Alligator mississippiensis: one gene and its partners. The protein of the gene in region 3 interacts with the protein of the main gene of each other region in a pairwise test. Links are inferred from orthologs where the notes say so. Each region holds a gene or a part of one and is shown on either strand. Other genes may lie near its edges. The genes, in order: SMC2, OLFM1, TRAF3IP1 and FRMD4A.

Region 1 (7,269 bases), on a different chromosome or scaffold from region 3:
AACTTAAACCTTTGCAGGCTGCGAGTTGCACATCCCTGCTGTATAACATGCAGTGGCTAAAACGAAGAGCAAATACTTGCATCTTGAATTCAGTTTCTATCAAGAAGAATGAAAAAATCTGTAAGCATTTCTGAACAAATAAAGGCTAAAAGCTTACCTGCCTGGTGACGGTGATCTCATCATGAGCCTCAAATCCCAGAGGACTTTGTTTCTTGTCAGAATTATCAAAGGTGATTGATACAGTTGCTTTAGTAATTCCAGCCTGGCCATTTTTGTAAACCAAATCTTGTAAATTGGATGCTCGCACCTGAAAATATGGAAGAGACATGAATGATTAACAAAGTCATTGTATTAATAGCAAATGGGGAGTCAACTGAAATGTCTGACAAGTAGGCATGCTATAGATTTATGTACCTTAGTAACTTTCAAGAACGAACAAACTGTGGAGGTATAAAAAAGGCTGCAGTATAAAACAATATACAAAAGACCAGCCCAATTTTAATATGTCAATTAAAGATTTTTATAAGAAATTAATGAAAAAAATTAAATGGATAAATATACGCAGCAAGATGGTCTAGTCTAAAACACTGCTCTCTTCATGATGGCATCTATATGAGATTGTAAAGATGTTATACTAAATATTCATTGAGGTTCTAATGGATTACTGAGTCTAAACCACACTTTTAAGCAATTCTAAAAGTAGATACAGATCTTCCTAAACATACATATTACTTACGTAAATGGTACTATGTGCATAGTGTTACTTATTAAATATTGTTATTATTCTTTGCTTTTAAATAATAAAAAGCCTCTTTTGCTAAAAAAAAAAAAATAAAATAAAAAAAATCATCATTTAACAGTATTCTCCAGAGATTCCCACATGCATAATAAGGAAATGAGTTAGCATCCTAATCTGCTTTTGTATTTCTATTTTATAAAAACGTTATGATTTCAATCTTCTGCTACTTTTGTCCCATGGCTCTAGGTTGCAGACTGCATACTAATTAATTGCTATCATTATTACAAGCTAATTATATTATTTTTACATGTTAAAAAACTAAGCGAAGTAAAAGGGACCACCATTCAGTTTACAGTCGGTTGGTAAAAATGACTTCTGCCTTAGGCGAAACATCATACCTGATGGTGTGAGAAATGGATTGCTTTGTTAGTACAACTACAAAAGCTATATATTCACATTAGTTTATCAAACTGGAAAACATCTGAAAAAGAATTGTTAGCAGCTGCAACATTCCTTGATAAGGACGCACTCTATGCCTGACTGTAAAGCAATCTTGCTAATGAGGCATCAGCAATGATCACATCATCATTTTTACTTCTCAATAGAATCCTCCGATTTGGATTGAAAAATTTTAATCTTCACAGAGTGCAGAAGAGGAAGTGTCAATCTTCCTCATTTTAGTTAAAAAAACAAAACAAAACAGTAAAGCCAGCCACACATTCTGTGAAGGGGGAAAAGGATGCTGCCTGATGATCCTGTTCAACAGGGAGAAATTTTATTGTTGCTCATGGTCATTCAGAACCGTGTGTTTCATCTTGCTCTTTACCTGAGATAGGTTGGAGATGCCCAACAGGAAACAGATGGAATCCAGGATATTGGACTTGCCGCTGCCATTTAAGCCAGTGATAGCATTGAACAGTGGGTCAAAGCCATTGATTTCTGTCCTCTGGGCATAGGACTTGAATCCCTCAAGGATAATTGACTTGACATGCATCTTTTTGGTCTCTCGGAAGGACCATGCCAAGCCTCCCTTCAAGGGGGATGAGGAAAGTTCTCCAGTTTATAGTGCTGCAGGTTTCAAAACAATAAAAGCAGACCAAATCAAAACAGAGTGCATTCAACAGAATCAAAAGCACAAAGCAAATGGAAAAGGTTACAATGCTGCCCTAACAGACAATGGTAGCTGCTCCCTCAGGCAGGGAAGTCATCAGGGTGCTGCCCAAACATTACATTGACATTCGTCCAACAAAGGGCAAAGGCCCTCTCCCCCAAGCTGTTATTTACAATAAAATATGTATGGATTCATGCCTCATGAATGTTTCTCAGCAAAGACATACAGCTACTGGGGGAAAAAAACCCCTCAAGACAATCATCTTCCTGAAGACGGCAAAGTCGACTTATTTTTCCTTTAACAGTGTGCATGTTGTGGACGCCTGTCTGCATTCAGAGCGCAGCGTGACTCTACACATGGTTAGGGGTTTGCTGAAATAACAAGTTCATAAATTAAACAGACAGACAAGGTCCTTTGGGTGAATCTGTTATCTCCGATATCAGATTCGCCCAAAGAACCTTGTCTGTCAATGTCCTTCAACCAACACGGCTACAACCTACACCGCTGTAAATGAAACACACACACACACACACACGTATGCATGCATATTATATACACAGGCAGACAAGGTTCCTTGGGTGAATTTGATATCTTTTATTAGACCAACCCAAATAGTTGGAGAATAGTTATTAAGCAAGCTTTCGGGTTCACACACACGCACGCATAAACATGCGCACGCACACAAGCACATAGATATACACACCCTGAAGAAGGAAGTTTATGCCCCAAGCTTGCAAACAGCAATTTCCCAACTATTTAGTTGCTCTGATAAACGACATCACACCTGCCCACAGGACCTTGCCTACCTGCACGCACCTCAACTCGTGCACGGCTAATGCCGGCTGCGCACGGGCGCCCTCAGAACGGCGGCCGCAGCCCCGCGGGGTCCACAAGGCGGAGGCGGCTCCCCCACCCCACTGCCCGCGGACCCAGCCCCCCTCACCTGCCGCCGCCACCGCCAGCGTCCGTCGCCTCGCTCAAATTTTGGCGCCCAGCGGAGGCGACCGTTTGCGGCTGTCCCGCGCGCTGCCGGACGAACTGGCCACCGAGCTACGCCCCTAGCGCCTCTCCCTCCCGCGGCCACCCGCCGCCTCGGCACGTTTTCTTTTTTCTTTTTTTTTAATTTTTTAATCGATTCTTAAGGCTAAAAAAACAACCGTCGATTCAGGCACCTACTGGTGTCAGCCATAGCCAGCAAGGACCCCCTTCCCCTCCCTCTCCCCTGCTCAGCGTTCTGATTAGGGACACAGGTGGGTGGGGCCTTTGAGAGAGCCCGTCGCTGTGCGGGCGCAAGAGGATGACGTAACAGCAGTAGCGGGGCGGGGTAGGGTAGAATAGAATAGAAGCGTGCGCGGGGGATGGGGCAGTGCTGGTGCTGTGATTGAGGGCGTGCGCGGGCCGATGTAGCCGCAGCGCCCCAGCCTCGCGCTGCGGAGCTGCTAGCGGCCTGCAAAGCCCATTCCTGCCTCAGCTTTGCTAGGGTGTAGCCACCCTCCCCTTCCCCTCCACAGGGGCCCCTGTAGCGAGCCGGCCTTGCGCGGCCTAGTTCGTAAGCAAGTGCCACAGTTTAGGCCTGTCCCTCAAGGGAAGCTTTCTGGCAAAACCTGCTCAGGTTTCAGCGCTCTGATGCTCAACAAGGCATAGCCACGTCTGGCAGCGCAGAGAAGACAGAATTGAGGAAACGGGTGTTGGAAACTGGTATTTGGCCACAGGAAGCAGCCGATTTGGCAAGATAAGCAGCCAAAAGGTGGTGGGAATATTCACGCTGCAGGTCTCCTCTGGGTTGTTAGCAGAGGGAATTGATCCCAGCCCTGAGCGCAAGGCTGAGCCATTAGGGCAGTACTCCATAGGTTACGGAAGGCAGGACAGGGTTGACCCTTAGAAACGATGTGTGCAGCATAAGATTTTGTGAGCCTGAGCTCATTTCAGAGCTCGTGCTATATGTCACTGATTTTAGCTAGTCTGTAAGGTGCAAATCTACTGTGACTTCAAACTGAAGAAGGTAGCTGGCTCCATCCATGTGCTACTGCCATGGTAGCACAGGACAGCACTGCAGTGATCGTAGTCTTGCATCCTGAGCACTAATGCTGACAATGGAGCCCTGTACAATGCCAGGAATAATCACAGAGCAAACAGCCATAACGAAATGACAGCAATAACTTGTTAGAATTCAGGAAATGAGTATTTCTGCCAAGTATTTAACCACAATGACACAAAGAAACAGCAATCTCATTACATCTGTTTAATCTGCAAAGTGATTATTACCAGCACTGCATGCAAGGCTGGTTTGGTTTGGTTTGGTTTGGTTTGGTTTTGGTGGCCAGTGACTCATGGATGTGGCTTAGCTTTAGCCAGAGCAGTAATATCACTGTCCATCGCTACAGGGAGACCTGATCTAGTTAGCAATCCCTCTCTTCGAGAATGATCTCTACCACAGCTCTTTCATGAGTCTTGAAGTGACTTAAGTGTCCAACCCTTGAGCCACAGACGTGTCCATGGAAGTCGCAGGTCTTTCTGCAGCAGAAAGTAGGCCGTAGTCTGGGCTTCCTCTCCTTTTCCTTCCTCTGCTCTCTCTTCTTTTCAGGACAGGATGATTTACTTCAGTGCAGGGTGTTTCTCAGTTGAGGTTGCAGTGCTGTCGGAGTTAGTTAGCAGCCAGCTCCTCCCTGTTCTTGATGTCAGCATCTGTTTTCCTGAGGTATGCCTTCAGTGTGTCCATGTAGCATTTTCTTCGTTGCTGTGAGATCTCAGGCCACAACTAGGCTGGGAGTAGAGCACTTGTTTTGGAAGTCTAGAGTTGAGCATCCTCATACGATGTCCAGTCCAGCAAGTTGGTGCTTGATGATTGCCACCTCAATATTACGCGGGAGCGGCAAGAGACGCGCGGGTGAAAGCTCGCTGTGCCCCCGCTCCCCCGAAGCCCCCCAGAAACCCTCCAGCAGCCGCGGAGCCCCCCGCTGACCCCCAGCGCAGCCGGGGTAAGCGGGGCCCGTGGAGAGAAGGGGCTAACCCCTTAGTGTGTGTGTGTGAGGCGGCAGCTGAGTGGAGCCGGGCCGGGTCAAGCCCCGCCCAGGCCCCTACTTGGCCCAGCCCCCCAGGGAGCCACACGATCGGAGCCGCGCGAACAGGCTGCACAAACAGGCGCGCTTCTCTGCCGGCGCGTGAGTTAGCACGGAGTTCGTGCGGGAGGGCGCCAGACCCTGCCTGCGCACCCCGCAGGGTAGACAGTCCCAGCCGTAGCCAGCCTACCAGAGGCATGACACGGATGGGCAAGCGCCGCACCCCGAGGGTCCCCTCGGGCTCCGCGGCCCCCCCCTCTGGCACCTCAGAGACGGCCACCCAGACGGAGCCCCTGGTTCCGGGCTCCATGCAGACGGAGCCCCTGGCTCTCGGCTGCGGGGGCTGCCTGTCCCTTTTTCAGGCTCTGGGGCCTGGGAGCATGGCGACCTCCCCTTGCGGGGTCTGCTCCCTTTTGGGGTCTCTGGTGCGCCAGCTGGAGGAGCTCCAGGCCACAGTCCACAGACTGCGTGCCATCAGGGACTGCGAGCAGGAGATAGACTCCTACTGCCAGGCCCTTCTCCCCCGGGAGGCAGAGGGTAGATCACAGTCTCCCTCCAGGCCAGAGGAGGACTCTGGGACCTCCTGCTGTGTCCAGCCAGGGGCATGGACCAAGGTGGTCAAGGGCCCTAAGGCCCGCCGCACCAAGGCCCCACCCCCGCCACAACTGAGCAACAGGTATGCACCTCTTGCTGCCCCAGCAGAGCCTGCTGAGTTGCCGGCCCCCACAGGCAACATGGGCCCAACTGCAGCTCCCGCCCCTGCTCTCCCCAAGACAAAACGTAAGGTGTTTGTTGTGGGAGACTCCCTCCTGAGGGGGACGGAGGGGCCAATCTGCCACCCCGACCCCTTAGCCCGGCAAGTCTGCTGCTTCCCGGGGGCCCGCATCCGGGACATTGCGGAGAGGATCCCCAAGCTCCTCAAACCTACAGACCGCTATCCCATGCTCCTTATTCATGTGGGCACCAATGACACGGCTCGGAGCACTCCCAGCCAGGTCATGAGGCGCTACAGGGATTTGGGAGCGGGGCTTAAGGGTCTGGGGGCACAGGTGGTGTTCTCGTCGATCCTCCCAGTCTCAGGCTATGGGCTGAGAAGGGACAGGAGGATCTATGTGGTCAACCAAAGACTGCGGCACTGGTGTCGTCAGGAAGGCTTTGGCTTTCATGACCACAGCCCGCTCTTTGGCGAGAGAGGCAGCGAGCTGCTGGGAAGAGATGGTCTCCACCTCTCTCCCCTAGGGAGGAGGCTCTTCTCAGCCAGACTGGCTGACCTGCTCCACCGGGCTTTAAACTAAGCCCGCTGGGGGACGGGGGCACGACCGCCACTGCTGGCCCGCTGAGCAAATCTTGCAAAGCCAGCGGATCATGGCACTCAAGGGAGCCCTCCCCAGCCCCAGCCCTGGTAAAATCTGTGGGCAAGGAAGGAGCCCCCCAGGGGGCGCTTGCCTGCCTGTACACAAATGCCAGGAGCTTGGGGAATAAGCAGGAGGAGCTCATCCTCCTGCTCAGTGCAAACAATTACGATGTCATAGGGATCACAGAGACCTGGTGGGACTCCACCCGTGACTGGACCACGGGGATAGATGGCTATACCCTGTACAGGAGGGATCGTGTAGAGAAAAGGGGTGGGGGTATAGCTCTCTATGTTAAGGAAAGCTACGCGTCCCTGCAAGCCGATATTGGCGACCAGGGTGGACGGCTGGAGACCCTCTGGGTTAAAATCCGTGGGGAACACGGCACAGGGGACACAATGGTGGGAGTCTATTACAGACCTCCCACCCAAAGTCCTGAGCTAGACCAGGAGTTTGCCCAGGAACTGGCTGAGGCAGCTTGCTCCAGGACCATGGTTGTCATGGGTGACTTCAATTACCCAGACATCTCGTGGGAGGATCGCTCAGCAAAATCTGAGCGGTCGCAGAGCTTCCTCTCGTGTGTGGATGATCTCTACCTGACTCAAGAAGTCTATGGGCCAACGAGAGGCAAAGCGCTGCTCGACCTGGTGCTGGCTACTGGGGAGGACCTAGTCGGCGACCTAGTGATCGATGGGAAGCTGGGTGACAGCAACCACGAGCTGATCACCTTCACCATCCGCCGAAAAGCTGGCAAGTCGGTCAGCAACACGCAAGTCCTTGACTTCAGGAAAGCCGACTTTGACAAGCTCAGGAGGCTTGTCAGTGAGGCCCTAAGGGACTGTGACCGCAGGGAGAGGGGAGTTCAAGAAGAGTGGTTGCTCCTCAAGGGAGCGATCCTCAATGCACAAACTAAGTCTATTCCATCTCGGAGGAAAGGCAGCAAGAGGGCACAGCAGCCCCCCTGGCTCTCCAGGGATCTAGCAGACCTCCTGAGGCTAAAAAGAAAGG
Region 2 (7,210 bases), on a different chromosome or scaffold from region 3:
TCCCTCCTCTGCATTACCCTTTTGGATAAGCAGAGTGAAATACCCATCTCTGCTAGAAGATGGCACTAGAATTCAACAATTGCATCGACTCCCAGGCCACGGAGTTGCATAACATGCATGTCGGCTCCTGTTCTGCATTGCCACTTCTGGAAGAAACTATCGATTTGCTAACACAAAGTTCAGCCCCTTTGACTCCCTGCGATATGCAAGCAAAGCAGTGACCTCGCACTCGTGCACCGTTGTGCATTGCAGGTCAATGAAGGAGGTGAGAGGGGATGGGACAGCTTTCTTTGTCTTCATTCATCCTGTTCTTCCTCATTTTTTTTTCTTTGCTACTGCAAAATGTGAGAGGTGCAGAGAGATTTTGATGCCTATTTTCTGACCGACGGCTGTGATCACTTCTTAGGAAGCATAGGGGTTGATCATCGGAGGACACATTTATGGCTGTATGTCAGGACTGCCTGTACATGATCAAAGGATTCATTTTGTAATCTCTTTTTCCTTCCTTTTGCATTTAGTACTTATGTTTTACCCCTGGGTTAACGTTTAAGTGAAGGCAGAAGTGAGGGTTTCTATCAGAGGGACGCTTGGTTTCTGAAGTCATTGAGAAAGTTATATAAGCCTCTGGAGAACATCTTCGTTTTTAATCTGGAATGAGTTCAGTTTCCTTATGGGGAAGATGATTTCAGGGAAAATGTTTTGACAATGCCACCAGCACCGTTTCCAGTGCAATATCCATCTGGCATCTTAGTTACGGTTTGCTTTGTAGCTGGGCAAATTAATACAATACGGGATTTTTTTCTTAAAACACAAGAGTCCTGATCTTCTGCTGGTGTCACTCTGTGTAGCTCTACCGATTGCAGGGACTTGGACCAACTGAGGTGCTGGCCTGGTGTGTGTTATGACTGTACCTGTCTACCTTCAAAGTGATCAAGCCTTTTCATTTTTGGAGAATGCCAACTTTGGTTTTCAGCAGGAATTTAGCAACCCCGGCTATGTGACGTCTCTCCCTCATTGAAGTCCTAAACCAACGGTGCTGAACCTCTTTCAGTCAACGTACCCCTTGGTCTCAGAGTGAGACTTCACATACCCCCTTTCAATGGGAAATTAATTTTTATGTCAAGCTACGTGTAATCGTGTATTATAAAAACGGCAAGATACTCGTACAAAACTTCAAATTGTCAAGACTTTTTTTAGGTCCTTTGACCTGTGCTAGACAATGTATGAAATGTATCTCATGTACCCCCTGGGGGTACATGTACCCCCCGGTTCAGAACCGCTGTCCTAGACTCTCACCTTGGGGGACTTGTAGGATGCTTTATAGATCTTACAACCTCAGACTCGTGCAGTAGAAATGATGATATACTTCTGAAACCCCTGGCCTCACACCACCATGCTCAGCGATTGCAAAAACCCACGGGAAGAGGTGAAGCTCATCTTGTTCCCCCACATTTGCCAGTTGTATCTTGCCCCGAGCTTGTAATCCCTCTGCAGAAGCAGCTGCCTTTTTCGGGGGTGCTGGGTATAGCAGCCAGCACTCCCGAACCTCAATCCCAGATCAGGAATTGGTTGTCATACAAACAATGCAGTGCCTCCTGAGAGTTATCGAGGGGTTTTGGCAGGCAGGGAAGTATCCGGAGACCCACTTAGAATTGAAGACGGTGGGAAAGTACTCAGAACTGGAGCTGCCCGCTTCAGACGCCCGCTATCTTGCATGCCAGTGTCCCACCCTATCCATAATGGATCCTTCTCTCCTTCACCGAGCTGCCTGTTGCCTCCACCTGCTTTCTCTGGCCCAAGCTATAGAGAAACTGAGACATCTTTTGGAGGTCTTCCACCTCTGGATGCTCTCTAATGGATGGCAGGGAGGAGAGCTGAACTTCCTCTGGAACAGCGATAATGGGAAGTCAGGCGGGGAGGGGAAAGGGTAGACTGGTACAAATAAGACTGATGCTGGTGCCCGATTTGCAGCCTGGCTGGAGGTTATGAATCCGCGGAGAAAACATTCAGTGCACGTTGATATTCAGTGCATGTTGTGATACCTGAAAGGTGCTTTCATGTGCAAGGCAGAGCAGGGAGAAAAGGAGCCATGGAGGGAGCCAGGAAGCACTTGGGGTCAAAGTCCGGCTGAGAGCTCATTGCTGCGGGGTGGCAGAGGTGACGGCTTTCCCCACCTCAGCCTTGCTGCTCTGCTCTGGCTGCTTGGGCAAGCCTGTGACGCTGGCTTGGGGGCAAAACCCCCCTCCTTACTGGGGGGAAAAAAAGAAGGGGAGACACAAGGATGGCAGCAAAGGTGGCAGCTTTTCTTACCCCAGCCTTGCTCCCTACTTTGGCTGTCTCAGCAGACCTGTGAGGCTGGATCAGGGGCAAAACCCCTTTCTTGGCTGGAGGAAAAATGCAGGGGAGACACAGGGACAGCAGCAGAGGTGACACCCAGCCTTGCTCCCTGGCTCTGGTGGTCTTGGCAGGCCTGTGAGGTTGGATATGGGGCAAAACCCCCTCCTCCTGGGAGGGAACAAAAAGTAAGGGAGATACAGAGATGGCAGCACAGTTTCAGCTTTCCTCACCCCAGCCTTGCTCCATACTCCAGCTGTCTCAGCAGGCCTATGAGGCTGGTTGGGGGGCAAAACCCCTCTCCTGGCTGTGGGGGAAACAGAAGGGGAGACACTGGGACGGCAGCAGAGGTGACTCCCCAGCCTTGCTCCCCAACTCTGGCTGTCTGTGCAGGCCTGTGAGACTGATTCAGAGACAAAACCCCTCTCTTGACTGCGGGGAGACAGTGGAGGTGACACCCCAGCCTTGCTCCCCAAGTCTGGCTGTTTGGGCAAGCCTATGAGGCTGGGGAAAAAAGAAGGGGAGATGCAGGGACGGCAGCAGAGGTGCCCCCCAGCCTTGCCCTTTGGCTCTAGCTGCCTGGGCAGGCCCGTGAGGCTGCCTTGGGGGCAAAATCCCCCTTCTTGCTGGGGGAAAAAAAGAAGGGGAGACACAGGGATGGCAGCAGAGGTGCCCCCAGCCTTGCCCTTTGGCTCTAGCTTCTCTGTGCAGCTGGATCAGCAGCAAACCCCTCTCTTGACTGGGGGGGAAGCAGGGGAGGCAGCAGCAGTGATACCCCCTGCTCTATGTGCCCCGTGCGGCTGGATCAGCAGCAAACCTTGACTGGGGGGAAGCAGGGGAGGCAGCGGCAGTGATACCCCCAGCTCTATGTGCCCGGTGTGGCTGGATCAGTAGCAAACCCCTCGACTGGAGGGGAAGCAGGGGAGGCAGCGGCAGTGATACCCCCAGCTCTATGTGCCCGGTGTGGCTGGATCAGCAGCAAACCTTGCCTAGGAGGGAAGCAGCAGTGATACCCATGGCTCTATGTGCCCGGTGCCGCTGGATCAACAGCAAACCCCTCTCTTGACTGGGGGGGGAAGCAGGGGAGGCAGCAGGGGTGATACCCCCAGCTCTATGTGCCCTGTGCGCTGGATCAGCAGCAAACCTTGACAGGGGGGAAGCAGCAGTGATACCCATGGCTCTATGTGCCCGGTGTCGCTGGATCAGCAGCAAACCCCTCTCTTGACTGGGGGGGAAGCAGGGGAGGCAGCAGGGGTGATACCCCCAGCAATATGTGCCCTGTGCGCTGGATCAGCAGCAAACCCCTCTCGACTGGAGGGGAAGCAGGGGAGGCAGCAGCAGTGATACCCCCAGCTCTATGTGCCCGGTGTGGCTGGATCAGCAGCAAACCTTGACTGGGGGAAGCAGCAGTGATACCCATGGCTCTATGTGCCCGGTGCCGCTGGATCAGCAGCAAACCCCTCTCTTGACTGGGGGGGAAGCAGGGGAGGCAGCAGGGGTAATACCCCCTGCTCTATGTGCCCTGTGCGCTGGATCAGCAGCAAACCTTGACTGGGGGAAGCAGCAGTGATACCCATGGCTCTATGTACCCGGTGCCGCTGGATCAGCAGCAAACCTTGACTGGGGGGAAGCAGGGGAGGCAGCAGCGGTGCTCCCCGCGGCTCTGGCCGTCTGCCCGGGGCACGGCTGTGCCCGCGAAGCCGCATGCCAGGCGGGCGAGCCCCGGGGCTCGGGCTGCAGCCAGGGGGCTCTGCGGAGCCGCGCAGCCGGCGCCAGGCAGCGGAGGAGGGGGTGGGCACAGCAGCCCCAGCCTCTCCCCCCACTCCCAATCCCTCCTCCACCTCCTCCACCTTCACCACCACCACCACCACCACTCCGGCAGCAGCAGCAGCAGCCTCCCGCCTGCCTGCCCCGGCTCGCTGGCTGTGCTGGCTGTGCTGTGCTGTGCTGGGCTCGGCATGCCCCAGCCCCGGCGGAGGAGCGGGGCGCCGGGCTGCCTGCGCCCGCGCTGAGCGCCGCGCCCTGCCGCTGCCGCTGCCCGGGCCGGGGCGCGCCCTGGGCCGGGATGCGCGGCGGCGGGGCCCCCGCGGCTGCCCGGCTGGCTCGGCTCGCGCAGCCCCCGGCCGCCCGGGCATGAAGCGGGGCCGGAGCCCCGGCGCGCAGAGATGTCGGTGCCTTTGCTCAAGATCGGAGTGGTCCTCAGCACCATGGCCATGATCACCAACTGGATGTCGCAGACGCTGCCCTCGCTCGTGGGGCTCAACACCACCAAGTTGACGGCCGCCACGGGGGGCACGCTGGACCGGAGCACGGGAGTGAGTGCCCAGCGGGGTTAGGAGCTCTGTGGGGGGGGGGATGCAAAAGCTTGGGGGAGACTGCGCGGTGTACCCCCAAACCCCTGCAGCAAAGTGCATTAGCTCCTAACAACCCTGACTCTTGGGGGCAAAGCGGATCTCTTTTCTTAGACCGAGGGGAATAGTTGGAAGAAGAAAAAAAAAAATCAAACAACCCTTCTTTCGGGTTTAAATCCCCTCGGGATGCCAGGGGAGCATCCCCCTCCTGCTCTGCAAGGGCTGGGATGAGGATGGGCTTTTGCAGGGCTCAGGGGCGATGGGCTGCAAAAAGCCTTGCTTCTCCGGGGTGTTCGTGGGAAGGGGGAAGGGGGGCTGTGCTTGAGACTGGGTTCGGCTGCAGCTGCGGGCAATTTCGGAGATTTTTAGGGTCGGAAGGGACCTATTGGATCATCAAGTCTGACCCCCAGTTTGGTGGGTGCACATTGTGCAGTCCAACCCCCAGTTGGGTGTGTGAAGATTTGTAGTCTGACCCCCAAGTTGGTGTGTGCACATTGTGCAGTCTGACCCCCCAGTTGAGTGTGTGCAGATTTGCAGTCCGACCCCCAGTTTGGTGTGTGCACATTGTGCAGTCTGACCCCCTAGTTGAGTGTGTGCAGAGTTGCAGTCCGACCCCCAGTTTGGTGTGTGCACATTGTGCAGTCTGACCCCCCAGTTGAGTGTGTGCAGATTTGCAGACCGACCCCCAGTTTGGTGTGTGCACATTGTGCAGTCTGACCCCCCAGTTGAGTGTGTGCAGATTTGCAGTCCGACCCCCAGTTTGGTGTGTGCACGTTGTGCAGTCTGACCCCCCAGTTGAGTGTGTGCACACAGTGCAGTCCGACCCCCAGTTGGGTGTGTGCACATTGTGCAGTCCGACCCCCAGTTGGGTGTGTGCAGATTTGCTACCTTAGAGGAAGGGCACGGTAAGGGCACGTTCCCAGCCGACAGACTGCGGGCTGGGCTGGCTGTCCCCTGGCCAGCCTGCAACCGTGCTGTGATGCCCCTCTTAGCTGGCCATCCTGTTACATAACCTGTTAGGCACCAATCTCCTGCATAGAAATACTGGGGTTTGCACAGGGGTGAAGGCAAGTCTGGAGGTCCCCCCCGCTGGCACTACTTTTCCCTCTATTTCGGCCAAGGACCCTGGTCGCAGGGTCCCCCTCCCAGAGCTGAGGCACTCACATGCCTCCAATCGATAGTCATTACTGGTTGGAAAATGCAACAGAGAAGTTGCAAGTGTATTTCAGCCGGGTCTTATTGTTCCACTTCCTTCCCCTGAAAGGAGACTATAGATTCTGCTCTTATCTATTGGAATTGGCTAAGGATCACACTCCTCCTTACCTCCCTGAGCAGGAAGGCATTGACAGCTCGCACCTCCCGGCTGCAAGCTTCTGTCTCCATAAAGGATGTAGCATGTAACAGCTCCACTGTTTCAAGATGAAAAGTATTGAAGGCGGCATGTCTTTGCCCTGGGAGTGAAGCGGGTAGCTTCTGCCACGTTGCCAGAACGGGATTGACCCAAAATCATTTGGACCGCTTTACAGAATCTCTCTCTCTCTCTGCCCCTGCGTCTGTGTGTCGGCTCGGCTATTTGCAAGGTTATAGAGAATATATTTAATCAATCAAAACAGCATTTTTTTCACCCTTCCCCCCTCCCACCCCTTGCTTGGGGATGCTGCTTTCTTCCAAGTCATCAGAAACGAGGCTCTGATTAAATAATGCACCGTGCAAAATGTTGCGTGATCAAAGGGAATGGAGATCACCGGTGCTTTTGGGGCAGAACAGGGTTGGAAAATGAGCGTAGTTCGGTTGCTGGCTTCCTTTTCCATCGGTGCATTATGGAAGCCCTGCTGGAGAGGCTGGCTACATCCGCAAGGCTGCCTCCTTCCTTAGCTGGCTGGCTTTCACAGGCAATGAGTCTGGGATTCCCCTTCCATGGATTTGCTGAACCCTTCCCAAAATATTGCAGTGCTGGCGAGGAGCCTGGCAGGGCTGGTTGGGGCTTGGGGCTGGAGGGTGAAAATGCAAGGGGCCTTTTACTGTTCCAGGCTAATTTTCCTGTTTCAGGATCTTGGAGAGCTCTGCAGATGCCCATTGATTACAGCTTAGCTCCAAGGAGGCTGTAAACTCCCTCTTAGCTTGGGATGCACTTCATTCTCGGCGTGTCAAGGAGGAATCGAGTGCATCTTATTCATCAGCTCTCACCCAGCCACCGTGTGCTTCAGAGCTCGCTCAACTAGTGTGTTACAGCAGGCTAACCAGACCCTACTACCCTGATTTTCTCTGCTACATACCATCCCCCTGGTCTCCCCTGCCCCATCCCTATTCATCTGCTTTGGCTCTTGCTCTCTTTTTCATACCACCAGGCACAGAGCTAGTATGTCCCAAATCCATATCTTTGCATTGTAAATGCTTTCTGTCCTCTCCTGCTAGCTGGGCGTTCAGAGAAACCTCTCCTCTGTCTTCCATGAGATACATATCCATAGCTCTTTTGCACTGAAATAGGGTCCATGCCTGTTTCTTCTCGTGTACCATCTCCTCAT
Region 3 (7,505 bases):
CTCTCCCACTGATCTCAATATTGAAGGCACTGCTTAAGCTGCATTAAATATACCAATCAGGTTACAGACCAATGTCCTTGCCATTCTCAAAGTCAGATGATTCAATCAACCAACTGCCAGTCTGTTTCTCCACTGCTAACAGAAGCCTTGAAACTATAAAACAAACAGCTGTGAAACAATGCCAGTGCTCTTGTCTACCAAGCCTGATCTGCTGCTGAGCCATACAACTGACACTGCTGCACAGCACTTACAGCACTTGAAATGGGTATCAAGGGTTAACCATCCATCATGCATATCAGGCAAGTAGCTGTTTGCCAAAAAAGCCTATTATAAGTGTTAGGTTTGTAATGATGGCGATTCATTCATCTTGCCCACTTCCCTTCAAGGACTTCAGAAACCCACTATTTTAGGGATGAGGGAACAGTGAGATGGTTCCTCTCCAGAGATCAATACAACTTCAAGGATGCAGTACAGCTCAAATGTGAACAAAGACTAAAGCAATCATTGGAACAGCATGAGTAGGGTGGCCATATTGCATCACTGGTCCTTACATGGGTACCATCTGCCCAAGAGTTCAATTACCTATGGAAGACTTCGCCTTAAAGGGAAATGGCACAAAAATAACTACTCTCCATAGACAGAAAATCTGTCAGTAGGCACAACTTCCCCACTTGCATGTGGAGACAAACTGAAAAAGCACATCTCATAATATGGGTAGAATAAAGCACTTTGTGCATTGTATATGCATCTCTGGAAATATCATTAATTCACTGCAGAGAGCAGTGCTAGTTACAACAGTGAAAGTAAAGAGCTGATACAATTTTTGTTTGTCTTTTCAAGCTGTAGTAAAATTGACCTCTCAGAACAGAAAAGAGCACACACTCAGATAATACACTTCACTGTACAACCCCCCGCAAGATCACATTGCTGTAAACATAAAAAGGATTTGCCATTCTTTCATACAACGTATGTTGTTATGCAACTCAAAACACTTATACTTATTTTTTGAATCATCCTTAGTTATTGTATACGCATTAAAATATCAACAAAAACAGAGACAAACCATTGGGGCACGTAAAACAAAACATAACAATCCCCTCCTTAGCCCTAGAAAATACAGTCTTAGAGGAAAGTTGTCTGTGGATGTATAATGGGCAAAAAAGAACCTAAAAAGCAGAAGTCATAGTTTTTAAGTTATTATTTTTAATGGTGTTGTATCTTTAACTTCCAGTATGCTCAGTGCAGAAATGAAAAATCATTTTGTATCTCTACAGCATGTAGCACCATAGGTCTCTTGTCCACAATCGGGGAATTTAGGTCCTGCCACAAGACACCATCTCATATATTCAGAAAAGCTACATTTGAGGCTATTCCCCCAAAACATTAACTGTAAAAGAAAGATAGGTTTGTTACATGAAACTGGGTATGACAACACAGGAGTAACTGCCCATGCTGGGTATAATGAAATAAGGAAATTTCATACCCACCTTAACATTATCAGATTTCATCTCAAAGTCTGTGTATAGCCCCTTCATGAAACCTGTCACTCTAATTACCTTCAAAACAAAGGAAAGGTAAATTACTGAGAACAGCTAGAAAACCTCAGCAAAAACACTATTTTCTTGTATAAGGTTCCAGCAGGCAAATCTGTTAGCTTGACTCACTACCTGAAGCAGAGTTGGAAAGAGGATAGAGCTAGACTGTGCTCGGTGCTGGCAGATGACAGGACAAGAAGCAACATTCTCAAGTTGTAGTAAGGGAAGTTTAGGTTGGATATCAGGAAAAACTTTCTTACAAGGAGGGTAATAAAGCACTGGAACAGGCTACCCAGAGAGGTGATGAAATCTTCATCCTTGCAGGTTTTCAAGACCAAGCTAGATAAAGCCGTGCCTGGGATGATCTAGTTGAGGATGCTCCTGCTTCGAGCAGGGGGTTGGATTTGATGACCTCCTGAGGTCCTTTCCAACCCTCATTTTCTATTATTCTATTTGGAGGGAAGTCAGTCATTCGCTCACGTCAACATATTCATTGAAAGGTGTCGGTCAGTATTTTGTATTCATTTAATTTTAGGGCAGCATGACATTCTCTGAAGAATAAATTCGGACACATTTCCCCAGGTGCTTAACATCTCACTCACTTTAGTCTGGAAAATTCCTGCATTCACTTGTTCACAGGAACTCATGACTTTGACCCACAGGCCTGGGTGTTTTCAACCCAGTCCTGATTCCTCCTGCTGCTGCCACACCTATTGGTACCTGCCTTGTTTCTAACAGAGGGTTTTACCAAGTCTCTTTTTTTCTTTCCTTTTCAGGTGGGAACAGAAAAAAAGAACTAATGCGAATATCTAACATCTCCTTCAGTGAAGGGGCTCTGCACTTCCAGGTCAGCGCTGGTGCACCATTATCAGGCAGCACGGAGGTTGGGGGGGGGGGGGGGGGAGGATGGGGCTGAATGGGACCTCCCCTGTAACAGTTTATGGGGTGGAAACCGGCAGGTGAAGGGATGGGATGGGGGCCACAGAACAAGCTGGTGGAGGACCCTACTCTCCAGTGAGGAACTGAGTCTCCCACGGGCAGTACCAGGCTTCAGAGCAGTGGTGGGGGGGAGCCACAGAGTTGCCCCGCACCTCCCAGGCCCATCCTCTGCTGTTCTCCTGCTCTGCTGCCCGCCCCGAGCCGCACTCCGAGCTGGCTGCCAGGCTGGCGGCAAGGGGGAAGCCCCCAGGCCCAGGCCCTTGCAGGGCCCCAGACCCGCAGGGGGCGGGGCCCGCCCCGAGCACCCCCGTGGCCCCGCCCCCCGCGGCACCTGGCAACGGGGACGCGAAGACGGGGCGAAGAGGCCCACCTCGCCGATGACGTCGTGGAGGTAGCGAAAGGGCGGCTTGCAGAGCAGCCGGTCGGTGAGGGGCGGCTTGCGGATGACCCGGCCTAGGGACTCCTGTGTGCGCCGCACCACCGCCGCGTTCATCGCGGCCCACAGCGCCCGCCCCGCCGGCTCCGAGCCTCCCGGCATGCACCGCGCCAGGTCCCGCCCCCTCGCTGCGCACGCGCGGCTCCGCATTCCGCCGTTGCTACCCGCACCGCGGCCCTAGCAACGGCCGCCCCGGCGTCTGCGTGCGCGAGGGGTGTGTCTGTGCAATGATGTCAGCCCTGGTAAGGTTAATAATAAAAAAAGCGTCCAAAATATATGATAATTTTTGAGGCACCCACTTGATGCAATTGGACGCAAAACCCAAGTTACGAGTCTTAAGCAACACTCAGGGGCTTCTTTGTTTTGTTTTAATTTAATTTGTATCCGAGGTCAAATTAGACAAAACTAATTCCAAATCCAAGAGTCCAGAACCATAAGTGGCCATACTACTGGCAAACATCCTCCACCCGCACCTGGGGCTTCAGGTGTTTCCAAAACCTTTGGTGGGCATCCTACTTGCAGGCCCAAGCCCAGTGGTTTGGGGTTCGGATGCCCCCAAGTTTTGCTTGTCCTTAGCCATACGGCCGTCAGAGCAAACAAGGGAGGGGACTCCTATGTCCATAAACGGCTTAAACCCGCTGCACCTCAGTGGGTACCGAGCCACGCCAGAAGAGCAGCTCTCTGCCAGGTGGTTCAGGAAAGCTGCCTTCTTGGACACAGATACATGGTATTTCCCCTGCCAGGGTCAGAAGCCACTACGCTTGATCTGAGCCTTCACGAGGCCGCACTTTGGGGTGACTCCTTACCTGGAAATAAAGAACAGCCCCCACTTTCATGACCCAATTCTCACTCACTCACTGGGACTTAGAGTGAGCAATTTAAAGTCAAGGAAAACACAACTTAATTGCATACTTATTTGCATATTTGTCAATTGTTTTCCAGCAAATGCAATCATTTTGAGCTTCCAACATGATAACTTCATATTTAAGACTCGCAACAGTGGCCACAGCTCACCCAGGCTACCCAGAGACTGCCCCTGAGCAGTATCTTGGGGGCAGTCTCTTGGAGGCACCTCAGGCTGGGCCAGAGGTGGCCATGATAGGGCCCCTGGGTGCTACCCCTGAGTCTGGCCTTAACCCACATGTGGCACATGCCAGGCCACTCTCTGCCCACAGAGGGACATTTGCCACAGCAGGCACCCACATAGCACACACCACATCTCCCAGCCTGCTCTCTCACCCCAAACTCAGTTGGGGTTGTTGGGGGAAGAGAAGGCTGGAGACGTTTCCACACCACTCCTGGAGCTTTCCTCGGCAGACAGCGCACGCTCTGACCCCAAGAAATGCGCTAGTTACCTTAAAACTATCTTAAGCAAGTCTTGCTATCTGTCCCCATGAGAAAACAGGGTCTCATGGACATAGGATTTTGAAAGGCCAGGAGGGGAGGGAGTGCAGATGCTGAGGTGCATCGATTCATTGTGTATAAAACAACACTGATTTTTCTCCAGTTAAAAATAAGCTAGAACCTTTACTAACATGCGAGGGGCTCAAGGCTGTATTATTCCATTTGACTGAAGCAAGAACAAATATTACTTCATTCGAATAATATAACTTCACCGGAACCAGCAAGGAACTCTCTGTAGTGAGGAGTTGGCATCCGGCTCCAACTACAAATGGCACACATGGCGGAGCCTGAACAGATTGAGAGTGGGTCTCGCAAGATGCAACTCTCTCATGAAATCATGGGACCTCTATGCAACCAACATGTTTCTCAGGAGAAGCAAACAGCGGATCATCTGCTGAGATGCCCTGTGGCACCACAATGTACCCTATAAGGTCTGGCAACACCAACACCAGAAGCAGCGACCTGTGCAGAATACTGGGAACAGACCAGGTTGGATTGGAGACGCAACAAAGAAGTCTTCATTGGAATGAGTTAAAAACAGTTTGGGGGGCTGTGAAATAGGAGTTTTGTTACCAGGAGCAGCAAATTGCATAACAAAAGCTAGCTTGCTTGGTGGACCATCAAGACCATTAAAAAGAAGGAAGAGCCATTAACACTTGTTGAATGAAGAATTTAGAAGGACTCTGGTAGATTATAATGAGCCATAAAGTCAAGTGACTTCCTCACTGCTGCCTGACTAGAAATGCTGCTGCTGCTGCCACTGCCAGGCAATTGGTTTTAAACTTTGGATGGACCAGGAAACAAACAGGGAGGAAGGGAGTGCAATGCACCAGTTCATCCCCCTCCACCTGCCACTGAGTGCAGTGCAGTTGTCCAGTCATGGTCGATTGGTGCCTCCTGAGTTAGGGGGGCACTTGCCCCCCCAGTGGCCAGTCAGCGACCGAGGGGGGGGGGTCCCCCTGTGGCCAATCGCGCCAACCCAGAAGTGGCGCGTCGACCCCTGGGGGGTAGGGGGGAACTGCAGGGATTGCTTCTCCTGGCGCCCTCACTCTCTGGTCAGTGCTCTCGGGGGGGGAGCACCAGAGCTCTTGCCTGCCCCCCCAGCTCATTGCCTAAGCGGGAAATGGTGGCTGTCAGGGTGTACACCAGCGCTGTCAGGGGGTGCACATGCACCCCTGTGCACCCCCTACTTGTCGCCACTGTGTCCAATGACCCTTTGTTCCCAAACTGTTTTTATACCTTTTGTTACTTGCATATTCATTATTTTTATAGCTATTATTACTACTATTACTACTGGCTATTTACAGATTATTTATACACCCATACCTGCGTACCTTGCTTATCACACATCCTCTCATTCTACACATACTTTTCCCCACTGTCATTGACACTGTTTATGCTTTGAGAAAATTTGTGGTTGCATGCTCAGCTTTAACCAGAGTGACCTCCTCACCAGCTCAGTTCCTATACAACACCATGCAGGAGTTTTATTGTTACACCCAGACATGATCCCCCCCCACCCCACACACACTTTCCCCCAGTCCTGGACTGGCTGGAGCAAGATGTGCACTGGGTCTAGTCTAGGGGAGTAAAGGGCAAGTCTGTGGGCCTGATATGGCCCACAGGGCCAGCCACACACCATTCTTTTGGCCCTGTAGATCAGCCCAGAAGGCTGGATGAGTGACACTCCTGGACTACACCCATTCCATATGGACAGCAAAGGAGGGCAATAGTCAGAGCCCACAGGATCAGAACAGCTGTTTTAAAATGTGGGTACCACAGGCATAGGAAGGCAGGAGGCAGAGGGGATAAGCCTGGGCACCAGTATACAGCTCCAGCAGAAGTCCACGAACTTGGTGCACATACTCCACAATCCAGGCTGGCTGCTACAGCAGTGGTCACAGTCCCTGCCTGCCCACAGAAGGGGAATGGGCAACATTCAACACTCTGACAGGAAGCCCAACTCCTGGCAGGGTTACCAGGCCGCAGTCCCCTCTGTAACCTCAGCAGAATCCAGCTCTGGACTGGAGAACAATCTAGGCAGGTATCCCATGGCTGAATAGGAAGACCTCTTTCCATGGCTTTTGCACTCCAGAAAAGGAGAGTGCAAGGAGAGATTGTGGTTTCCTGCTGATGCAAAGTGTTGCTACAGTGTATATTTCTTCAATAAAGTGCCTTCCCACTCAAGGTTGTGCTTACCTGCTGCAACTGTAACAGGGAATAGCTTTAGGTGAAGAGCTGTGCAGTCAGTCTGCCTAGACTTTCCCAGGAGCTTTCTCTAGTCACTATTTAAGTGCTTGGCACCATCTCTGGGGGCAGTAGGGCTCTCTGGACAACAGTTATGTTGAAGCTGCCTAAGGCCACTGAGTTAGGGTGAGGGTTGCAACCATGAGGGTTTGAAGAGAGAGAGTTAAGAGTGGAGGCAATAAGGGAATCCAGTAATGGCTGCTTAAATCACGCTGATAAGGATAGAGATATGGTTCCAGTTGTTATACATCTCAGAGCTGGGGTGAAGAGTGGGTGAAGTGGTAGAGCTGCAGGGGTTAACACAGATCTCACTTATCCCTCACAACTAACGCACACCCCAAACAGGGATCCAAAGCCCCTGCTCACCCCATCCCTGAATTCCCAGGAGCCACAGAGACCAAATATCCTGGCTGTACAGGCTGGACTTGGCCTGTGGGCCACATGTTTGACACTCCCGATATTGGGTAAAACATGAGGCAAAAAGATAGCCTGGTTTGTTAACCATCTATTTGTGAGTGAATTATTAAACATATTTATGAGTGAATGCAGCTATAGGGAGGAATGAAAACTTTTCATTCCATCCAGGAAGAGCACACACCAACTGCTGAAGCTTCCTTAGCCTGACGAAGGGTTTTTGAACCCGAAAGCTTGCTTAATAACTATTCTCCAACCATATAGGTTGGTCTAATAAAAGATATCAAATTCACCCAAGGAACCTTGTCTGCCTATGTCCTTAGACCAACACGGCCACAACCTAAACCCCTACAGCTATAGGGATAATTTAAATTATTTAAAATGAGTAATTCAAAGGCCAGATAAAATGCATCCATCTATACCATCCTAGGCAAAGTCTAGGATCCTAGGGGTTGATGTTGTATACTTAGACTTCAGGAAGGCCTTTGATATGGTATCCCACACCATACTGGTAAACAAGTTAAGAGGCT
Region 4 (7,416 bases), about 170 Mb from region 3:
AGAATAGCTTCCCTTGATTTGCAAACAACACTTTTGTTAATGCAATCCAAAATGCTGTCAGCCTTTTGTGCAACTAGACTGTGCTGCTGGTTCATATTTGGCTCATTCAGCTTATAGATTTCATAGACATTGGGGCTGGAAGGGACCTCGGAAGATCATCAAGTGCAGCCCCCCGCTGGAAGGGCAGGAAGTCAGCTGGGGTCATAGGATCCCAGCAAGATAAGCATCCAATTTTCTCTTGAAGGTGTTCAATGTTATGTCTACTGTAACCCCCAGGACCTTCTATGCAGTACTGCAGCCAAGCTAAACATTCCCCAGACTGCATTTGTGCATGCAATTATTTCATCCCCAGTGCAGGACTTTACACTTGTCTGCAACTCCACCCAATTTCATGTTGTCTGCAGATTTCCTAAGTGTGGACTCGTTTTCATCATCCAAATCATTCATGAAAATTTGAAAAAAATACCAGACTTAGGACAGACCCCTGGGGATCCCCACTTGATACCTCTTTCCAAACAGACATTGAGCCACTGATGACTTATTGTTGAGCAAAGTGATCTAACCAGTTCATCTCTCCTAGTCTTGCTCGTCCTATTTTATCACTTCTGCTTCCATTCCTTTCTGGATCTCAGAGGTGCAAGAGAGTTTGCAACTAATAAGTGATAGATAGCAAGTAAAGAAAGCTGTGGATGTGGGAAAGCTTTGCAGGTACAGCTGGAGAAATGAGCTGCTTATTTCATCCAATCCCAAATCGATGCCAAATTTTAGTGCAAGTCCCCCAGTATTTGCCAAGGCCATTTCTCTGGTAGAACAGAACAGACCGGGTGGTAGCAATGCTATTTAGGCCCTGTTTAGGAGAATGACTCCTTGGGCAAGCTCAGAGACAAACAAGTCAGTGTGCCACGACACAAGGGCATGCCGTCAGAAATGAACAGGTGGAATTTTGCCGTGGCAGTGAGCTACAATGAGCTCATAAGTATGGGGATGGGGCATGCCTTAACAGGTGTGCCATGGAAAATTTTAATTAATGTAAGTGTGCCTTGGGCTGGAAAACATTGGGAGACATTGGCTTAGAGTGTCTTCCTTTACTCACATGGAGTATTCATCAACTGATTGCAATAGTTTCCATACAGATGTCAGGAGCTGCATCTGATGCAAATGCTACAACTAGAAAAAGGGATTAGAGAGGATTTTCTAGGATGGCTTGAGTTGTTAGGACCATTCACTAGCCCTAGGGCAAATTAGCATTTAAAAAATTCACTACCTGTACCTGTTTCTTCCTAAACTACACTATGAATCTGTTCACAAAGTTACTGGGGATGGACACATTCAATGGTCTTCGAATCAGGCCCATTATGTGCAGCTGTGCTTAACACAGCAACTCCCAAACCCAGAAATAACTCAAACCAAGCAAATAAGTCTAGCAGAAAATACCTTTTCCCCCAAATACAAGCACTGATCACACAACCCAAAGTCTGGGGTTCTCAAGTTTCTTGGTCAGTTCTGCAATACCAATGAATACTCTGACATTATAGGATATGGAAACAATAAAAAAAAATGAATTCTTAACTGTTCTTGGCTAATCCAAGTTGGCTAATTGAAGTGAAACCAGCTAGGAAGACGATTAAGATAGCAACTTGATATCCCATGACTGCCACCTGAATTAAAAGTCAAGGTATCCAAGTCTTTACTGCTGTATTTGAACTCAAGTTACTTGCCTAAAGCTGAGCTAACAACATACCTTGTCCGCACAATGCCAGCCCTACCTCAGGTTATATATAGCATTTACCTCAATGAATTGAGACAGCCTTGCAAAACTAGCCAGAAAATTCACTAACCCAGGTACAAAAAAAAAATCATCCGACCCACTTTCACTATTGTGGTTGGGCTTTTATAACCCCATCCAAACAAAATATGTAACAGGCAAGCAAATGAATCGAATCTCCCAAAGCTGAATGATACCTAGGGCTTGCCTAGTGTGATGTATGTTATATTTTAAAGTCAGCCCTTCATTTTATTTACTGCATGCAGGTTACAGTTCTGCAAGGCTAGATTTCTTCATGCTACATAATACTTTGCAGTTTGTCCAGCAGCTAGGATTAGTCAAGAAACAGGAACCCACAGCATGAGCAGACTGGCAAAGAGCAGCCTCGTTTCACAAGGAGAATCTATCCAGGATGCCCCAAATACTAAGAGATCCCTAGCCAGAATCTGCCCCTTCCTTTACTAACACGGTTGCACGTGCCTCCGCTTGAGTAAAGCAGAATCTAGGCTTCTGCTCCAACTCAGAAAAGCTCCCAGGGACCTCAAACCCTGTTATTCTGCCCCTAGACTTCTTCCTATGAGTACTGAGCATCTTCAGTGCTCACTGACTGCAATGGGAAGCTCATGGAGTTCATTTTTTTGCAGGATTAGGCCCCCTGAGAATTTCCCCGTGCAGGGATTGAGTAAAGGCCTCATGATTTGGCCCAGTGGTGCAAAACCACCTACCTGGTAGACAGCTCTGGAAATGCACCATGGCTTCAGCATCAGCTGCAGGACCCTCAGATTTCCAAAGCGGCAGGTCCTCAAAGCCCGTGAAGTCAAGTTCCACACCAGGCTGTCCCAGCTGTAGAACAGGTCCTCAAAGCCAAAGAGGACAGCAGCCATGCCAACTACCTGTGTGAAGCACCCAGGGCTCCCAAGCTGAGGTGGCTAGTGAGTTCCTAGACTCCTTACGGACCGCAAGGTTAAAATGTCACAGCAAGTTTCAGCAAGGCGGCAAAGAAAGGCTGCAGCCAAAATAAATCAGCTGGGATTCTTCCTCCCCCGCTCCCGTCAGGAAACAGCTTCTCTTTGCATGTATCTTCTCAAATCAAATTCTGCTGCACCCAGAGATCATCGGGGACAGGGTAAAAATATCAGTCCCGCGCGAGGCAGGCGATTTCACATCCCTGACAAAGGGCTCCTTGGTTACGTTGCATCTCGCGTCCCAGCTCCGAGCAGCAGAACCCAGAAACAAACTTAGATCCAAAGTCATCACTTTGCTTTCAGAGGACTGGGATCCCATCCAGAGGGAGGAAAAAAAGCTGCTCTCTCCCCCTGCCAACATTCCCAAGACATTCCAGTCTTCGGCTTAACTCTTTCAAATGCTACAAAACAACAGCTGAGAGGATGGCTTTGCAGCGTGCAGCATCTTATCCTCTTATTCTTTATTCCTTTATTTAAATTTGATGAAGGACTACTGGAGATTTTTATTTTGTATACAGTAGGCACTGCTAGAGTCTTTACACTTTCCAGATTCCTCTTGGCACTTAGTGTTCATGCAATACTTATGTTGATCTAAACCTCAGCTAAGGGTGTGCCTCTCTATTAAACCACCTGCACAGGTTGACCAAAATCAGCTGAAATTGGTGCCCTTAACAAACACACACTGAAACCAGTTTGACCCTTGCTTAGCATGATTCAGCTTCCATCACCAAATGAAGCTGGGGTGAAAGAGATAAATTAGGGTTTTACATTAAATTAGTGGTTTAAAGCGCCGTGTCGTTAATTTGGTACAACTTTCCTAATACAGAGCAGATCTTTGGGAAGGTGCCAGTCTCAACACCTCATAGACATGGAAAGTGAGACACAGAAGTGACGTGTCCTACATAAGGCCACAGAACGAGTCAGTGGAAGAGCCACTGAGGGGCCAACTCGCCACCAGAGCTGTTGCTGGTGTTGCAGGATGAATGACAAAAGACTACATAACTCCTATGGGGCCTGATTTCACAGCTAATGGGGGTTAGTTGGTGAACACCTCACAAGATTGGTCTGGCCAGCAGCTGAGAGGACATGCTGAGCAGCCCCAACTGAAGTCACTAGGACTTACAGCACCTCTGAAAAAATGAGGCAGCGGTGCTTTGCGAGGCTGAGCACCAAGACAATGAAAGCCATGAATCTGGCTGCTGTGGAAGCAGTCATGGCTTGTTCAAAGCCTGAATATCTCAAGCAATCTAACAAGGTAGCGAGCAAACACGTGCTCAAACAGCAAATATTGATTGCTCTTCCACGGTTTTATATATATGTCCTGACTCAGTATATATTTAGTTTGATCTGGGAGGACCAGAAAGCACAATCCAAACTGGCACATAATAATAATAGTACAATACCTCTAACAGCTCGTTGACTAGGCAGGTGTAACACCAGCAAAATAGAGCGGCAAAATTTATGTTCACAGCTTTAATTGCTTCTCCAGGACATCATTTTTATAGCAGTGTCATAAAAATCATAGCATTTCGTTCCAACTTAGTAGATGCTATTTGTGCTGCAGCACATCATTCTCTCTCTTCCTATGGGTCTGTCTTTTAGTCCCGTGTTGCCCCCCGCCTCTGAATCTCAGATGTCCGTTTTCCTGTCTCCTTCTTGGGTTGATTTCTTTGCCTGTTTGTAATTTAAGTAACACATTGTCCCCATCATTAAAAATACTGACAGGGGACTAGCAACATCGCCATTATAAAACCCCATTTGGAGAAGGCTTTTTTTTTTTGTTAAATAAACTTGATGAGGAAACATCTGCTCTAGGCTACAGCACAGCATATAAGAGCCCTGCCTGGAAACACAAGAGAAAGAAAAAGAAATGTGTTTGATTAAAAGAAAAGGAGGAGGAAATAACTTTCAAAAGCGACTGCTCCACAACGTGATCTAACTGCTTTGGCATTCGGAAAGGGGGAGAAGGGAAATGGAGGCTATGCTGCTGCTTTAAAATTAGCTACTCCACATGTGCGCTGAGCCTTGCCGGCCGTTCTGGAGGGGAATTTTGGTCATAGGCAGCCCCCGTGTCCCAAGTATATGATTACCCAATGGATGAGAACGGCTCTAGAAGAGCTGGGTTACATAATGTGACTTGACGCAACGATTGCAAAAGGAAGTATTTAACCAATAGACTGGAACTGAGTCCTTGGGAGTCAGCTGGACGTGCGACCATTTGAACATGCAAATTTAAGTCCTTGGTGAGAACAGCTTGGTCAGATTCCTACAGATCCTTCCTTGCTAATTTGATGTGCGATATTTTATTTTGGCAAAGCTAAACATCGTCTGTACAAGGATTCAGCTGAGAGGACCAGCTTCTGATGGAGTCCAGATTACATGCATTTCTCAGACAGAAACCAGACACGTCACAGTCCCCAGAGCTGAGCAGGTACTTTCTCTCCCTGAGACTTCCCCTTCCCGAGTGGGAGGGTAACACTATTAGCAACCATCCTTCATGGAGGCACAGAAGAGGCCAACTGTGGGGAGAGGGCAGTTTGGGAAGGGAGCTGTACAATAGTTAGCACAACTTTATGCCACGTGGAGCTGTACCGTAACTCACATTAGATGCCCTGCTCCGTCTCCCTGTGATGGGCTGACCATGCATGAAAGGTTTGTGAGTCGGGGATCCCTCCGAGTTGAGGGAGCTGGTTCTTCGGCTTGGTTAGCGGAGGCGTAGGTCTAGGACTCCCAGACTGAAGTTAGGCAAAGGATTTTGCCTGGAGCATTGTTACAAGTCAAGGAATTTCCTAAAGGAGCATCTGACTGCTGATTAAGGAAATCCAGCACTCCTCAAGGAAGCTTATCGTTTTCAGTAAGACTTTCGTCGGAAGATTTCACGAGTCCACGAAGGAATTTCTGGGCCAAAGCCAGAAAGGCAAAGCACAACACCCTGATGATCAAAACAATCACTCAGGCTGGGGGGGATCCCAGATCCTGGGAAAAGCAAAAATTTAGACCCGGTCTCCTACATCCCAGGAGAGGAACCTGTCCGGACGGCCGTCTGCTTCTGAACGTGTCTCTTCAAAGTCAACAAGCTTTATGAAATGGGATTTTTGGTTTTCCAGTCACCCCCATCACACCTGGTGTCCAGTGGGAGGCACTGTTAGGCATCTGGAAAGGCCGGCGGAGAGTGTCACAGATTCACTGAAGTTTAGGGCTGGAAGGGACCTTGTGAGATCACGGGGAGATGGGGAGCAGAAATGAAGATCTAGTTGCACAGCCGATCAGATCCTCTGCTGGCATACACAAAATACGTGCCTATAGCACCCCATTACATTTCTATACAATCCTACGGGTTTCAACCCCTTGGTAATCTACAGGGAAGATTATATATAAATTGCAGTGCAATTTATAGATGTATGATGGACAGAGCTAGGCATGTATACACATATACACACACAGATCTGTTCATCGGTTTCTCTAATTATGCACTGATTATTTCCTGCCATCTGAGAAAATGTCAGGGAAAGCATTTACTTCCAAACCTCCCACATCTTACTGACGGTCCAGAGGCTGTTACTAGGATATAAAAATAGCCCATTTCTTTCCATGAAGAAAAAAAATCCAGTCCATTGTGTTGCTTCATTTGACTGTCAGTGAGAGCTGAAGGTGAAGGGCAGGCTCTCAAACCTGAGCTAAACAGGAGGAAAATGGTCCTTTTCAACAAAATGCCAGAACAGACTAAGTGGAAATGCAATGACCTGTACAAATGCAAGTAAATGGTGTCTGCATTCGGAAGCTTGGTGATGAGGAGGACATCTTTTCCCTTCAAGTCACCCGCATTGCCTGGTCCTTGGAATAAGGAAATCAGCCCTGCTCTCTAATGGGCTCTCAAGTAGTTCCCCTCTTGACTGTGTTATGAGAATAGCGTGCAAAAAAACTGGAGTTTGGGGGAAACTTTGTAGCTTTTCTCTGAACATACAATAAATGAGCAAGATGCATCCTCTTTCTGCTCCACAGCTGGCCCTGATGGTTGTTACGGCTCAAAGCCACTGATCTGTTCTTTTAAGACCAAATCTTTGTATCAGATGTGTCACTATTTGATCTTTATTTCTTTTTAATGATAAGAGGATGAGGCCTTTAAGCCGAAAGGTCTCTTTCATGTTGGAGCTTCGTGCTTTGTTGTTTTGGAAACAATTATCCAAAGTCTTTTACTCTCCATATTTCTCTCTGCCTACTTCCATAGCACAGCCTTTTCTTGCATGAACACGCAAGAAAGGGTCCAAACGATGAAGGGCTCATTCCCAGGGCCACTGAGCGCTGCTACATGTTTGTATTTATACATCTAGAGGGGTCAGTGTGCATGTGGCATATGGCACTTAGAGCATTAAAAGGAAGTTTTCCTTTCCTTGCCAGTATCCAACAAGTTACTAGCTGGACAACGCAGGGAAGAGATTGCTCTATGCACATGACTCTTAAATCTAGCAAAAAAAGGAGTAACAATGCAGTGGTAGGAAGCTGAAGCTAGGTAACACAGATTAGAAACAATGTCCAGGGTTACCTTAGGACAATTTATCATAGCATGTGGGGAAAAGCAGAGGGAATAAAGCAGAAGACAAAACCGCAGGATTCATCCCACGGAGAGTTTCAGTTGCATAGGACTGAGGACCAGGCTCTAAATTCTGTTGTGTCGCTGTAAAGGCA

What was found.
Region 1: the proteins of TRAF3IP1 (region 3) and SMC2 interact in a two-hybrid assay, tested with the Homo sapiens proteins (2 studies listed by BioGRID and IntAct). The link is inferred for Alligator mississippiensis from reciprocal best matches to the Homo sapiens genes TRAF3IP1 and SMC2.
Region 2: the proteins of TRAF3IP1 (region 3) and OLFM1 interact in a two-hybrid assay, tested with the Homo sapiens proteins (2 studies listed by BioGRID and IntAct). The link is inferred for Alligator mississippiensis from reciprocal best matches to the Homo sapiens genes TRAF3IP1 and OLFM1.
Region 4: the proteins of TRAF3IP1 (region 3) and FRMD4A interact in a two-hybrid assay, tested with the Homo sapiens proteins (2 studies listed by BioGRID and IntAct). The link is inferred for Alligator mississippiensis from reciprocal best matches to the Homo sapiens genes TRAF3IP1 and FRMD4A.

The regions. Positions count from the first base shown.
Region 1 is NC_081826.1:165,751,850-165,759,118, forward strand, and holds the start of SMC2 (structural maintenance of chromosomes protein 2), read right to left. Parts: upstream 3,020-7,269; 5' UTR 2,794-3,019; intron 2,747-2,793; exon of another isoform or gene 2,667-2,746; intron 1,808-2,666; 5' UTR 1,734-1,807; coding exon 1,566-1,733; intron 308-1,565; coding exon 158-307; intron 1-157. UniProt on the Homo sapiens protein: Central component of the condensin complex, a complex required for conversion of interphase chromatin into mitotic-like condense chromosomes.
Region 2 is NC_081835.1:62,520,198-62,527,407, forward strand, and holds the start of OLFM1 (noelin), read left to right. Parts: upstream 1-4,207; 5' UTR 4,208-4,499; coding exon 4,500-4,649; intron 4,650-7,210. UniProt on the Homo sapiens protein: Contributes to the regulation of axonal growth in the embryonic and adult central nervous system by inhibiting interactions between RTN4R and LINGO1. Inhibits RTN4R-mediated axon growth cone collapse.
Region 3 is NC_081827.1:183,388,379-183,395,883, forward strand, and holds the start of TRAF3IP1 (TRAF3-interacting protein 1), read right to left. Parts: upstream 3,014-7,505; 5' UTR 3,013-3,013; coding exon 2,806-3,012; intron 1,557-2,805; coding exon 1,488-1,556; intron 1-1,487.
Region 4 is NC_081827.1:14,823,936-14,831,351, forward strand, and holds the start of FRMD4A (FERM domain-containing protein 4A), read right to left. Parts: upstream 3,019-7,416; 5' UTR 2,650-3,018; coding exon 2,491-2,649; intron 1-2,490. UniProt on the Homo sapiens protein: Scaffolding protein that regulates epithelial cell polarity by connecting ARF6 activation with the PAR3 complex. Plays a redundant role with FRMD4B in epithelial polarization. May regulate MAPT secretion by activating ARF6-signaling.